Arabidopsis thaliana: one gene and its partners. The protein of the gene in region 2 purifies or fractionates together with the protein of the main gene of each other region. This does not show direct contact. Each region holds a gene or a part of one and is shown on either strand. Other genes may lie near its edges.

What was found.
Region 1: the proteins of NRPB4 (region 2) and NRPB9B fractionate together in Arabidopsis thaliana (co-fractionation; one large-scale study listed by BioGRID). This does not show direct contact.
Region 3: the proteins of NRPB4 (region 2) and NRPB11 fractionate together in Arabidopsis thaliana (co-fractionation; one large-scale study listed by BioGRID). This does not show direct contact.

What each region holds. Positions count from the first base shown.
Region 1 is NC_003075.7:9,201,825-9,205,509, reverse strand, and holds NRPB9B (RNA polymerases M/15 Kd subunit), read left to right. Parts: upstream 1-1,694; 5' UTR 1,695-1,748; coding exon 1,749-1,910; intron 1,911-2,563; coding exon 2,564-2,722; intron 2,723-2,900; coding exon 2,901-2,981; 3' UTR 2,982-3,158; downstream 3,159-3,685. Other genes in the region: AT4G16270 (peroxidase superfamily protein), read right to left, coding at 146-430. UniProt on the Arabidopsis thaliana protein: DNA-dependent RNA polymerase catalyzes the transcription of DNA into RNA using the four ribonucleoside triphosphates as substrates. Component of RNA polymerase II which synthesizes mRNA precursors and many functional non-coding RNAs.
Region 2 is NC_003076.8:3,094,189-3,097,942, forward strand, and holds NRPB4 (RNA polymerase II, Rpb4, core protein), read left to right. Parts: upstream 1-1,994; 5' UTR 1,995-2,087; coding exon 2,088-2,136; intron 2,137-2,314; coding exon 2,315-2,423; intron 2,424-2,563; coding exon 2,564-2,641; intron 2,642-2,789; coding exon 2,790-2,823; intron 2,824-2,918; coding exon 2,919-2,987; intron 2,988-3,104; coding exon 3,105-3,182; 3' UTR 3,183-3,454; downstream 3,455-3,754. Other genes in the region: AT5G09910 (Ras-related small GTP-binding family protein), read left to right, coding at 1-128, 211-264, 356-483, 558-744; ABCF2 (ABC transporter family protein), read right to left, coding at 3,455-3,655. UniProt on the Arabidopsis thaliana protein: DNA-dependent RNA polymerase catalyzes the transcription of DNA into RNA using the four ribonucleoside triphosphates as substrates. Second largest component of RNA polymerase II which synthesizes mRNA precursors and many functional non-coding RNAs.
Region 3 is NC_003074.8:19,317,404-19,321,157, forward strand, and holds NRPB11 (DNA-directed RNA polymerase, RBP11-like protein), read right to left. Parts: upstream 1,721-3,754; 5' UTR 1,596-1,720; coding exon 1,543-1,595; intron 1,462-1,542; coding exon 1,372-1,461; intron 1,283-1,371; coding exon 1,204-1,282; intron 1,098-1,203; coding exon 1,008-1,097; intron 920-1,007; coding exon 824-919; intron 699-823; coding exon 666-698; 3' UTR 446-665; downstream 1-445. Other genes in the region: chx28 (cation/hydrogen exchanger 28), read left to right, coding at 1-332; AT3G52100 (RING/FYVE/PHD-type zinc finger family protein), read left to right, coding at 1,940-1,971, 2,087-2,426, 2,505-2,558, 2,700-2,874, 2,953-3,002, 3,113-3,205, 3,286-3,374, 3,458-3,536 and 1 more.

The DNA of each region.
Region 1 (3,685 bases), on a different chromosome or scaffold from region 2:
ATTCCCTACTTAACCGGTACAATTTAGATTTGTCACGGTTTAACTAACATAATATAATCCTTCCCGGTTCAATGGTATATAAAAGACGGGGATTAGATGATAGACCAAAACTATTAAAACAAACTTAAGATGAGATGTGACTTGCATTGACAAAACAGTCGTGGAAATGAAGACGGAGAAGAGAAGCAGCCATTCTTGGATCCTCTAACACCGTGGTTTCCACCCACGAGTAGACGATAGACTCTGCTTCGGGGCAGCTATTCCGGTATAAACCAAAATCAAGAACCAAATCGAACCCTATGCCAAAGCTTGAACCGGTTTCTCCACTCCCGTCTTCGCAACTCTCGCTGAAATTGGTTGGATTCTCGGAGAGTGAAAGAATTGGCATTGCAAAGAAAAACATAAGGAACAAGTTAAAGAGATTCTTCATTGTCGTTATATGATCACTCCACTTTCTTCTGAGTTTTAACATTCAATGGAGTTGGTACTATATTAGAAAGCTAGTGTATGTGTGTCCATATTTATAGAAACAATTCAACTATATACACATACATAACACGTATATATGTATGTGTGACTGCATGACTGCATGTGCACTTCAACAACCCAATTACATATTATGTACTCGTCAAATTAATCATACGTACGTCAATAAATGTATGTATATATAAAAGAAGTAGATTGGCAAATATTCAAGTAAAATTGCAATGTTAGTATACCAAATGATTAACAAATTCTCATAATACAATTTATGATCAGCATGTATAATTGTGTGTTTTTTGTTGTTTTTTATGCATGAATTATTATTTGAGCAAAACAAAACGTTTTGGACTAAACTATATACGTGATAAGGGATAAGATTGCATAAGGTGGCTGGCTAATGGCTATTATTAGTAAGTTGTAATAAAAAGGAACAAAAGAGTAGTAATGATATTGTAATGAATGAAGAGGAAACACACAAATAAACCATGTTGTTACTATTGCTAGTGCTAGTGCAAGTGCTAGAGAGATGTGTCGGTATACACTATAGAGTCAGGAGTAGTTAAAAGACAGACCAATTCAGCAGTTGGAATCTGACAGAAGTTAGTAGTATATAATGTGCTTAATTTCTTTCATATTTTTAATAGAACAGAACTTATATAATGAATATCGAATAATTTTCACAATGATATAAAGGTGCATGGGGATATGCATGTGGTTGTTAATGTAAGAAAAAGTACACTAGTCTTCAATGAAGAAAGGGTCAAATTTATTTCGTATTGTCCTCTTCGTATTTCTTTATTTGTATTTTTTTCTACCCCACAAGTTAAATTCTGATATGGGCCGGCCCATGGGCTTTACGCATTTATTGTCTAAATGCCCGAGAAAGTTCATGAAATTACATCCGATTGCCACTACGCAGTCTTTAGTCTTTACTAGAGCTTGACCTCTTCTCTCTCATGTCCGAGTGAACAAATCCCGCCAAAGATACGAAGAGACTGATTGTGAAATCAAAGAAGCATTCAAAAGCTCGTTATCTAAAGATTCTGCGAAGATGAGTACTATGAAATTTTGTCGCGAATGGTAAATACGAATCTCTTCGTTTTTTTTATTTTGGGGGTCAAAACGAATCTGTTCTCTGCTCTTTTATACTAGTCTTCTGAAATTGAAATTTGGGTTTTCATTTCTTAGCTCATATTGAATTATATATTGTACCCAGTTCTCTTAAGTCTCTAATTGTCGGAATTTTAGTTTTGGATGGTTTGCTTATGTTTTCTATTGGATTAAAGCTCCAACTTTTCTCCACTTTTGCAGCTTATGAACCTTTGATTTTGTTTTTTTTTGAAATGTTCAGTAATAACATTCTATATCCCAAGGAAGACAAGGAGCAATCAATCCTCCTCTATGCGTGCCGTAATTGTGATCACCAGGTAAACTTTGTTTACTATGCTTTCTTTTATAAAATTAGGTTTCCTTAGTGTTAATGGAACAATGTGGTGTTGAAACAAAGCTAGGGCTGAAACCAATAGACTTTAGTTGTTCACTTGTATATGATTTGTGTTGATATTTATTTAAGCTCTGATGTTTTACTCTTTGTAATCGCTTATACGGTTAAAGGTCGAATGTCTGAACTTGAAGTAAACCAAGGAATGATAATTTAATGAGTTTAGATCATTTTCCTTGTCTCTCATATCATGAATCTGATTGGTTAAGATAGTAGTGCTTATCAGTATAAAGAGTTCTTTGAGAACTTCTGAACAAACGCAAGACCTTTTAAAAACCGTTTAGAGGGTTTCTGCAACTTAACTTCTAAAACCATTTGAGTTTCAACAATATCCATTGGTGTTACCGAATCTGAGTTTTTTTTTGTTTCTACTGTTTGTGTTATGTTTTGTTATTACAAAGCATTATGCCTTTGTTAGCTACTGAAAACCATTCTAGATGAATCTCTGTATGGGATCTTTAGCTTAATGCCCGGACTTGCTAACCGAATTAGTTATAAACTTACTGAGTTACTGTTAGCTATTTATCGTCCTGTTGATAGAAGGTCTTGAAATTTATATTCTTTTATTTGGCTTTGCAGGAAGCAGCAGATAACAATTGTGTTTACAGAAACGAGGTTCATCACTCTGTAAGTGAACAAACTCAGATCCTATCTGACGTTGCTTCCGACCCAACTCTTCCACGTACCAAGGCTGTGCGATGCGCCAAGTGTCAACACGGTGAAGCTGTCTTCTTCCAGGTGAATCATTATCTTATATCTTAATCTTTAATTCGTCATCAATCAAGGAGTAAAGAAACATTCTTTCGTTTTTCTCTGATCTAACTTAAAGATCAAAAGAGATTTCTTTCTCTTGCTTTTTAATGTGCTTATGGCTATTTCGGTTTGATATAGCTCGTGTGTGTCATCGAATTTTCAGGCCACGGCTAGAGGCGAAGAAGGAATGACTCTGTTTTTCGTTTGCTGCAACCCGAACTGTAGTCACCGTTGGAGAGAATAGATTGATAGAAGACTACATTTTTCAAATGTAACGTGTATTTGTGTTCCGCTTTATGAGTTTTATACAATTCAATTTGGAGTTTTCTGTGTAAAAATATGAATACTATGAGACTGTTCTCGGGTTTCTTGAATTGTTTCAGGGTCTTTTATGATCATTTTGGTTTTTATGTGGGTCTAATTATAAATTTGTCGTTTTATGCGGGGCCGATCTGAAAATTCGTCCATAAACCATGATAGTGTTGAAAATTTGTATACGTGGAGTCTAGCCGCCGGCTGCTATAACTTTGCTATAACGTGTGATATTATAAAAAGTTGATAAATCTAATCTTCTAAACCAAATTGTTTTAATAATGCTGTGTTTACTTCGTCATCGTATCGAATTATACGGCTGCTCTTGTTAAGTGATGACAATATCTTCAAATAAAGTTTTTTCTTTTGTAAGCAAATATGATAAAACTACGTTAGCTAATAGCCAACTTGGTCCATCATAGTTCATAAAGTCAAAAAATCAGTAACCAATTCATGAGTGGAATTATACTTGATTCAATGACACTGTTTAGGAGCTTATCTAAATTGCACAAGTTTTGTTACACGTAAAACACAAATATGCCAAATTAGACATGTTTCTCGTCATTCTAAAACATTAACAAATATTTACATAGACGCAGTCAAATAAATCAAATTTCGTATGATAAAAAAAAAACA
Region 2 (3,754 bases):
GAACAAATGGAAGCAGTGGCAATCTTGTTGATGCAGCTCGTCATTGGGTTGAGAAGCAGGGTCTGCTTCCCCATAGTGATGAACTTCCTCTCTCTGAGAGCTTCCCTAGCAATGTTGGTCTCATAATGGTAACCACAGACTAAATTACTTGCTTTATTTGAATTTAGTGTTATGCGGTATGTCATATAATTTTGGTAAAATTATGCACAGGCTGCCAAGGAAGCTAGATATGACAAAGAAGCTCTGACCAAAATTTTCCATATGGTTGGTGTCATTTCTGACCTTGCCATGTTTTACAATAGCTCTCTCCCTCTCTCTCTTTCTCTTCAACCTAATGAACGTTTTTCGTTTTCAGTTGATAAGAAGAAGATATTTCTCAGACGAACTACCGTCGCCTTCTTCAGCATGGTCTCTTTCCCATGCACCTTCCCAGCGGTTAGATGAGGGCACAAGTGATGAAGATCAGTTCTATAAAAGAACAAGGTATATATATTTATCATCCTAAAAAAAATCGGATTTCTTTTCTTTATCGGGTTTTGGTCTTTTGAATTTTGCAGCCTAAGGGAAGGAGATGCTTACAAATATAACACATTACCGCAACACAATCTCATGCAGTCTCCTACACTCTATCCGCAGCAACCACCTGACCGTTACAATTACGCTATTCCGAGATTCTCTCTTTCCAGTGTAGAGGAAACCAGCAATGGTAATGGCAGGTCTAAGCGGATGGATATTAACGTCTGAAAGTAAAACACAGATCAAATCTCACATTATTTTCCTGTAATCTTCCAAACATTATCTTCTTTTATTTGTCAACACTCCAAACATAATCTAAGTATTCTTTTTTTCTAAATAATACATGATTCGTGTGATAATTATCTTAATCATGTGAAAAAAACTTGATAAGTTTTTTTTTTTTTTTTTTTTAAGTTGGTAAGTATAAGCTTGATCAGTTAGAATTTAGAATCCCAAACTAAATCGGATTGTAAACAACTCAGTTCCTTATAAATACACTCGAATCATAATTGTAAGACAAAGAAGAAGAAAAAAAACAAAGTGTTGTATCCAAACGATGAAGACAACAAAGATTGAGAGTGAAGCCGTATGTAAGCATTGGTTTTTGTATATAGCGGAGTTCATCAAAGAAAGACTAAGTGAAGCGAAACTCAAGGAATACATGGGGTTGATGAAACAATTTAGGTCCCGGCATATACAAGGAGATGAACTCATAAAGTCTCTTCAAAATCTGTTTCAAGGAGACGTGGTTCTTTCTCAAATGTTCAACGCACTTATGAAAACAGAGATCCAAGAACTGCAAGGTAACGAAAATCCGGAAACAGTCGCAAGAAAAAGAACAAGGAGTGAAGCAGAGAATGATGATGGGATTGAAGAAGGTGAAATTCGAGAGGGGCATTGCGATTGTCCTCGTTGCAAGATTGGTCGGGAAGAAGCAGAAAGGCGTAGTATACCCATTAAGAAAAGAATTTGTCGTGGGTTTTAGAAGATTTTGTTTTGTTCTTAATATCACATGTTATTCAGTTTGTGCTTTTCAAATATTTTTCCAAATTCTATGTTACTACTCAATTTATGTTAAATCATAAAATAACTTGGGTTTTTTTTAATCAAATTATATTATGATAAATTTTGTTGTTCTTCTCTATTTATCATCAATTATAAATATATTTCTAATTAATCCTGTTATGATGATATTCAATTTCTTGCAGAATATATGATTGTAGTAAACAATTTTGATCTTTTTTTGCTATTAAATCAAAAATTTATACCAACTTTATCAAAATCATTGCCTATTCAAACTTGATGATTATTATTCGGTTTATTTCAATTTTTCTCTATTACTAACATAGTAACATTTATCTAATTAACCTCTCTTCCCCAAAAAAAATCTAATTAACCTCCTTGGATTTTCCTTTTTTAATTATAGAGTTTGCTTCTTTTTTTTTATATATAACCGGTCAAAGCTTTTGTTTTGTCTCATATTCATCACTTTCGTTGTTAAGACGGAAAAAAAAAAAAAAGAGGCAGAACCAAAAAACTTTAGGGTTCGATTTCGCTCCTTGGTAATCACCATGTCCGGAGAAGAAGAAGAGAACGCCGCCGAACTCAAGATCGGAGATGGTACTTCTCTATTCTCTTCGCCATATCCCCCGCTGTGTACCTCAAAATTAGGGTTTCTTTGCCTCATCGAATTGATCTTAATTCAATACGATTTAATTGAGCTTAACTGTATCGAAAATCCCTTAATTATTTGAGATTTATCATCGAAATTGATGGGTTTTATTCTCTTTGACAAAAGAGTTTTTGAAGGCAAAGTGCTTAATGAACTGTGAAGTCTCTTTGATTCTTGAGCACAAGTTTGAACAGCTTCAGCAAATCTCAGAGGATCCTATGAATCAAGTTTCTCAGTAAGTATAATTGTGTTTCATAGAGATTCATTGTATATTAGCCATCATGAATTGAAGAATTTAGTCAGTTTTATATGTTACTTCTAGGTTAGTGAATCAATGTTGAATATTGTTGAAGAAGTTATGTTTGCTCCTTGCAGAGTGTTTGAGAAGTCCTTGCAATATGTGAAGCGATTCAGCCGCTACAAGAATCCAGATGCTGTTAGACAAGTTCGAGAGTATCCTTTTTCTGAATTAGTTTGATTCAAAGTTTTTAAGTAATCGTTGCTTTGACATGCTTCCTTCTTGATGAGTGAGATTTTACAGTCACTGGTTTAATTCTATAGTTTTGTGAGAATATGCTATTCCTTAACTCAACTTTTGCAGAATACTAAGCAGACATCAACTCACTGAGTTTGAGGTACAATGTTAAATCTCTTGAGATTGGATTTTTGTTTATCAATTAAGTCGTTTCGGTAGAAGACTTAAAACATTGCATTGTTCATTATTGAACAGCTATGTGTTCTTGGCAATCTCTGTCCTGAAACTGTTGAAGAAGCAGTGGCAATGGTTCCTTCTCTTAAGGTAAATAAAGATTCTACTTTTTCTATTCAGTGGAGATAATAAGATAACCTCAAAAGGACAAATTGTATTGTTATGTAAGTGGACTTTTGAGATGATGTAAGCTTCTCTTTTGTGTAGACAAAAGGAAGAGCTCATGATGATGAAGCTATTGAGAAGATGCTCAATGATCTCTCACTTGTCAAGAGATTCGAGTAGTGCAGAAGATTCTCAAGATCTAAGATTCTGAACATTTAGCAGGATGCTTTACTTGCCTTCTAGCTGATCTGGAGTTAATTCGCCACGTCTGAAATTATAAAGCTTTAATGCCTAGAATTTCTGGAATGATACCTTCATGTTAAATGAATGTAATTTACAACGGATGATCCAAGCTTTTAATGAAATATACCATCTCTTTTTCACTAAATCAAGTAAGGGATGACACTATATACATACTACACCTAAAGCAGCTATGTGTGAACTGTGAAGCTTTAATTCCATCTCTTGGCATTTTTGCTGGACTTTGACTTCTTTTTGGAAGCTTGAAACGCTTTCATCTTTTGCTTCTTCCGTGCTTCTCTCTCAGCCTTTGACATCTTTGACTTTGCTTTCACTTTTGGAGCTTTTTCTTCCAATTCTGCTTCCCTCTCCAGCTCCCTTGCTCTAGCTTCAACATTCTTCTCCAGGAAATACTGAGAAACAGTTCAAAACAGTTCAAAACACAACCTAGAATGAACAAATTTGGCAAAGGTCTATTTACAAGAGGAAACTAGGTTGAGAGAGATTTCATT
Region 3 (3,754 bases), on a different chromosome or scaffold from region 2:
AATGTTTTGCTGAGTTCTACGAAAGATACATAGCTGGAGGTGGAAGAGTGTCTTACATGGAGAAGCATCTCACCAACTCCTCTGAGACTTTCACAGCTCTTAAATCACTAGATGGAGAGTATGGGCTGGTGATTGTAGGAAGAGGAGGGGGAAGAGCGAGCAGTGGGTTAACCACCGGCCTCAACGACTGGCAGCAATGTCCAGAGCTTGGTCCCATAGGTGACGTTCTTTCAGGATCAGATTTCTCACACAACACATCAATGTTAATTATTCAGCAGCAGCGTACTCGGGGTCAGCTAGAAGGGCTTCATGATGACTTCACTATACTGTGAATATCTGTACAAATGCACTTTACTTAGTAGCTTGGGAAGAGTAGTAGCTTCACCATCACAACTCTTAAAGAGACTTTGTACAATAGTTCAAACATTAAGCGGTTTATGTAGATAGAATGGTAAAAAGAAGAGGTAATCTAAGCATTACTTCATAGCATCCTGAAATGGTGTTGAAACATAGAGTTAAAAGAAGTTACAGGCCGATTTGTTTTTGATTTATACAAAGCATAACTAGGGAAAATTTCCCAAGCTCATTATTAGTCTTGATTGGTGCTTAGCAAAAGACAATGTAAAACGTTTTCCCCGATGTGCTGATGGAGAACTCCAAGTTCCTTAAAACTGATTCGAAAACTTGGCCACCTCTGCCTGAAAACACAGAAGGGTATACCATAAGACCAGGTACATCAAACAACATCAATAGCATTTGATATTCGTCTAGCTTATTAACCACATAATCAGATAAGTATATCCGAAGAGAGAAACTTATGTACCTCAAACTGGTTCTTCAAGTAGTCGAGCTCCTTGTCCAAGTCATTGATGGCCTGGTTGTATGCTTGCATTGGGGAAGACTGGCTTGTTGTGTGAATCTACATACAGAAACCACTTTCACAATTAAACAACAACATACAAGATCTTTCTATAAGTCCTTAAGCAACCAGTAATCCCAGAGGAAACTGTTAACACTAGAAGCTTAAACCAAGAAATATTCACGGTTTCCAAACAACCATACACTACTTTTAAGTTCCTAAACCAATCTTTTGGATCCTAAGGTCAATCAATGAACTGAAAAAAACGCAGAGGATAGCATTGTTCTTTCCAATTCAAAGCAACAGGCTCTACAGTAGAAGCAACTGAAAAACTTGGAACTTACCCTCACTATGATTTTGTACTTAAGAGGATGAGGAAGTTGGTATCCAGCAAACAAGACATTCTCGTCGCGATGAAGTTGCCTAAAACAAAAATTTCAGAACAGAGCTGACAAAAATTAGGGCTTTCTTCTTTCTGAGAAAAGAGTTGCAAAATCAACAAAAAGACGTACATGCGGACAATGTTTCCAATCGTATGGTCTTCTCTCTCAACCGTGAAGGAAGCAGCATTGATGATCTTCGTATCCCTATCATAAGAAACCCTAGAACATAGAAATCGAGAGGGTTTAGCACATGTAAGAGGACTATCGAGTATGATTTCGAGTGATAGAAACTTCAATTACTTCTTGGTGCCTTCAGGGACGACGAATCGCTCATATCGTTCGGGAGCATTCATGGCTTAATCGGAGATTTCAAGCTTCGCTCTCTTTTTCGCCGCAGAGAGACAGTCAAGAGTTCTTCAGTTTCTTTCTGGCAAACAAAATATAATACGACGTCGTTTTTCATAAAAGAAAAAAGATCGAATCTCCACGTGTTATATTATTATTGGTGTATACAGTTTGGGTCGGATCGGGCCGATAAAACATAATATTTCCGTTTAAGGACCTCTAGGTTTATATTATTTACACAATAAAGGACGAGTGATTTAATTCAGAAACCTAACAAAAAATTCAGGAAAAAAAGAAAAGAAGTCAGATCCCTAAAAATCGAACCCGAAAGCGTAAAACTTGAAAACCGACTATGGCCTTTCACGTAGCTTGTCCAATTACATGGTATGTTTTTTTTTCTTTCTTTTGGCGCCTCCTTTACTCGTTGGCTTGTTTGTTTTTACTAATCGAATTGTTCTAATTTGGGGGTTTTCTTCTTTCTTTCGTTCTTTCTCCGCAGCCGGAAAATTTGCTTCTGCGTTTTGGGGTTTTCTCGGAATCTTCATGGTAATGAAGTCAAGGATGTGTATCTCAAAGAGATCCATTCTCTTCAGGAGTTCGTGCGAAACCCCTGGGATGCTGAGGTTTCCAAGGACGGTACCGTTCAGATCCATGTGCCTAAGCTTGCTGTTTTCGATACTGGTCCTCGCATTGCGGCTAGAAATGTTGGTGTTGGGAGTGATTCGGCGATGGAGGTTGTTGCTGCATCATCGAATTTGGTACCAGCTAAACGCACCTTGGTGTTGCAGAAGAAGGCTGTGGAAGTTTATGCTGCGAATGATTGTTCTGGCGACTTAGAGGTTCGAATTCTTACTTGCGAAACTTGTTTTTGTGGTTAGGGGTTACTGCTATGTCAATTGAATTGAACTTGTTTATAGGAATCTGTCTTTGTGAGAAAACGTGTTTTCAGTGATGTTGATTATCTGTATCTCGTGTATGTGTTTTGGTGTTGTCCTGTCTTTTCGGGTTCTGTAATCTATGATTTATATGTAAACTACTTGTGATTTTTTGGATGATTATGAAGTCTATTCTCGTCAAGACACTAATTCAATGTTATGTCTTTCTCTATGTAGGTTTCAGTCAAAGACCTCAATGAAGAAGATCATGATCATCACAGTGCAAGCATAACATGTCACATGTGCTATTTGGTTGAAGTTGGGAAGAGTGAGAGAGCCAAGATGCTTTCTTGCAAATGTTGTGGGAAGAAGTATCATAGAAACTGCGTGAAGTCTTGGGCCCAACATAGAGGTATTGTTTCATAGGAATCTATTGTTTATGACTTATGAGTCTTTCTGCCTAGATTCTTATACCGGTTTTTGCTAGCAGATCTTTTTAATTGGAGCTCTTGGGCGTGCCCATCTTGCCGAATCTGTGAGGTATGTTCGGACACAACTTTGTGCTCAATGATTATTCTTGCTCTTTACATGCTGGGCTAGGTATGACTGCTGCTTGATTATTTGTATTCTTTTGATCATTTTTCCTTTAGGGCTGCGGGACTTTAGGGGATCCAAAAAAGTTTATGTTCTGCAAAAGATGTGATGATGCATATCATTGTGATTGCCAACATCCTCGGCACAAGGTATAGTATTTATTGCGTCTGTATAAGGTTCTTATCTTATCTTTTGCAAATTGGTTTATTTTAATCTCTGAATATTACAGAATGTTAGTTCTGGACCCTATTTGTGTCCTAAGCACACCAAATGTTACAGTTGTGAGTCTACAGTCCCTGGGAATGGCCAGAGCTTACGGTATTTAACTTTTTGCCTTGTGATACTTGAAATTTATTCATGTAAAGTGCACTATCTCTTATTATTCCTTCTAAACTTTGCAGGTGGTTTTTGGGGCATACTTGTTGTGATGCTTGTGGAAGGTTGTTTGTTAAGGGGAATTATTGTCCTGTATGTTTGAAGGTATATTTACATATTCTCCTCCTCGGTGATAGGAAAACGTGCGCTCTGTTTCCAAGCATCATATTTAGATATTCTTGGCCATAATTAATAGAGTTATGTATTTTGGAGTTGTTACCCTATACTATCCAGACATCTGTATTGCAAAAGCAGTTATTTGCAGAATTTTCTTACATTCTTTGAATTGACAAATTATTTTGATTTCATCACGTAGGTTTACA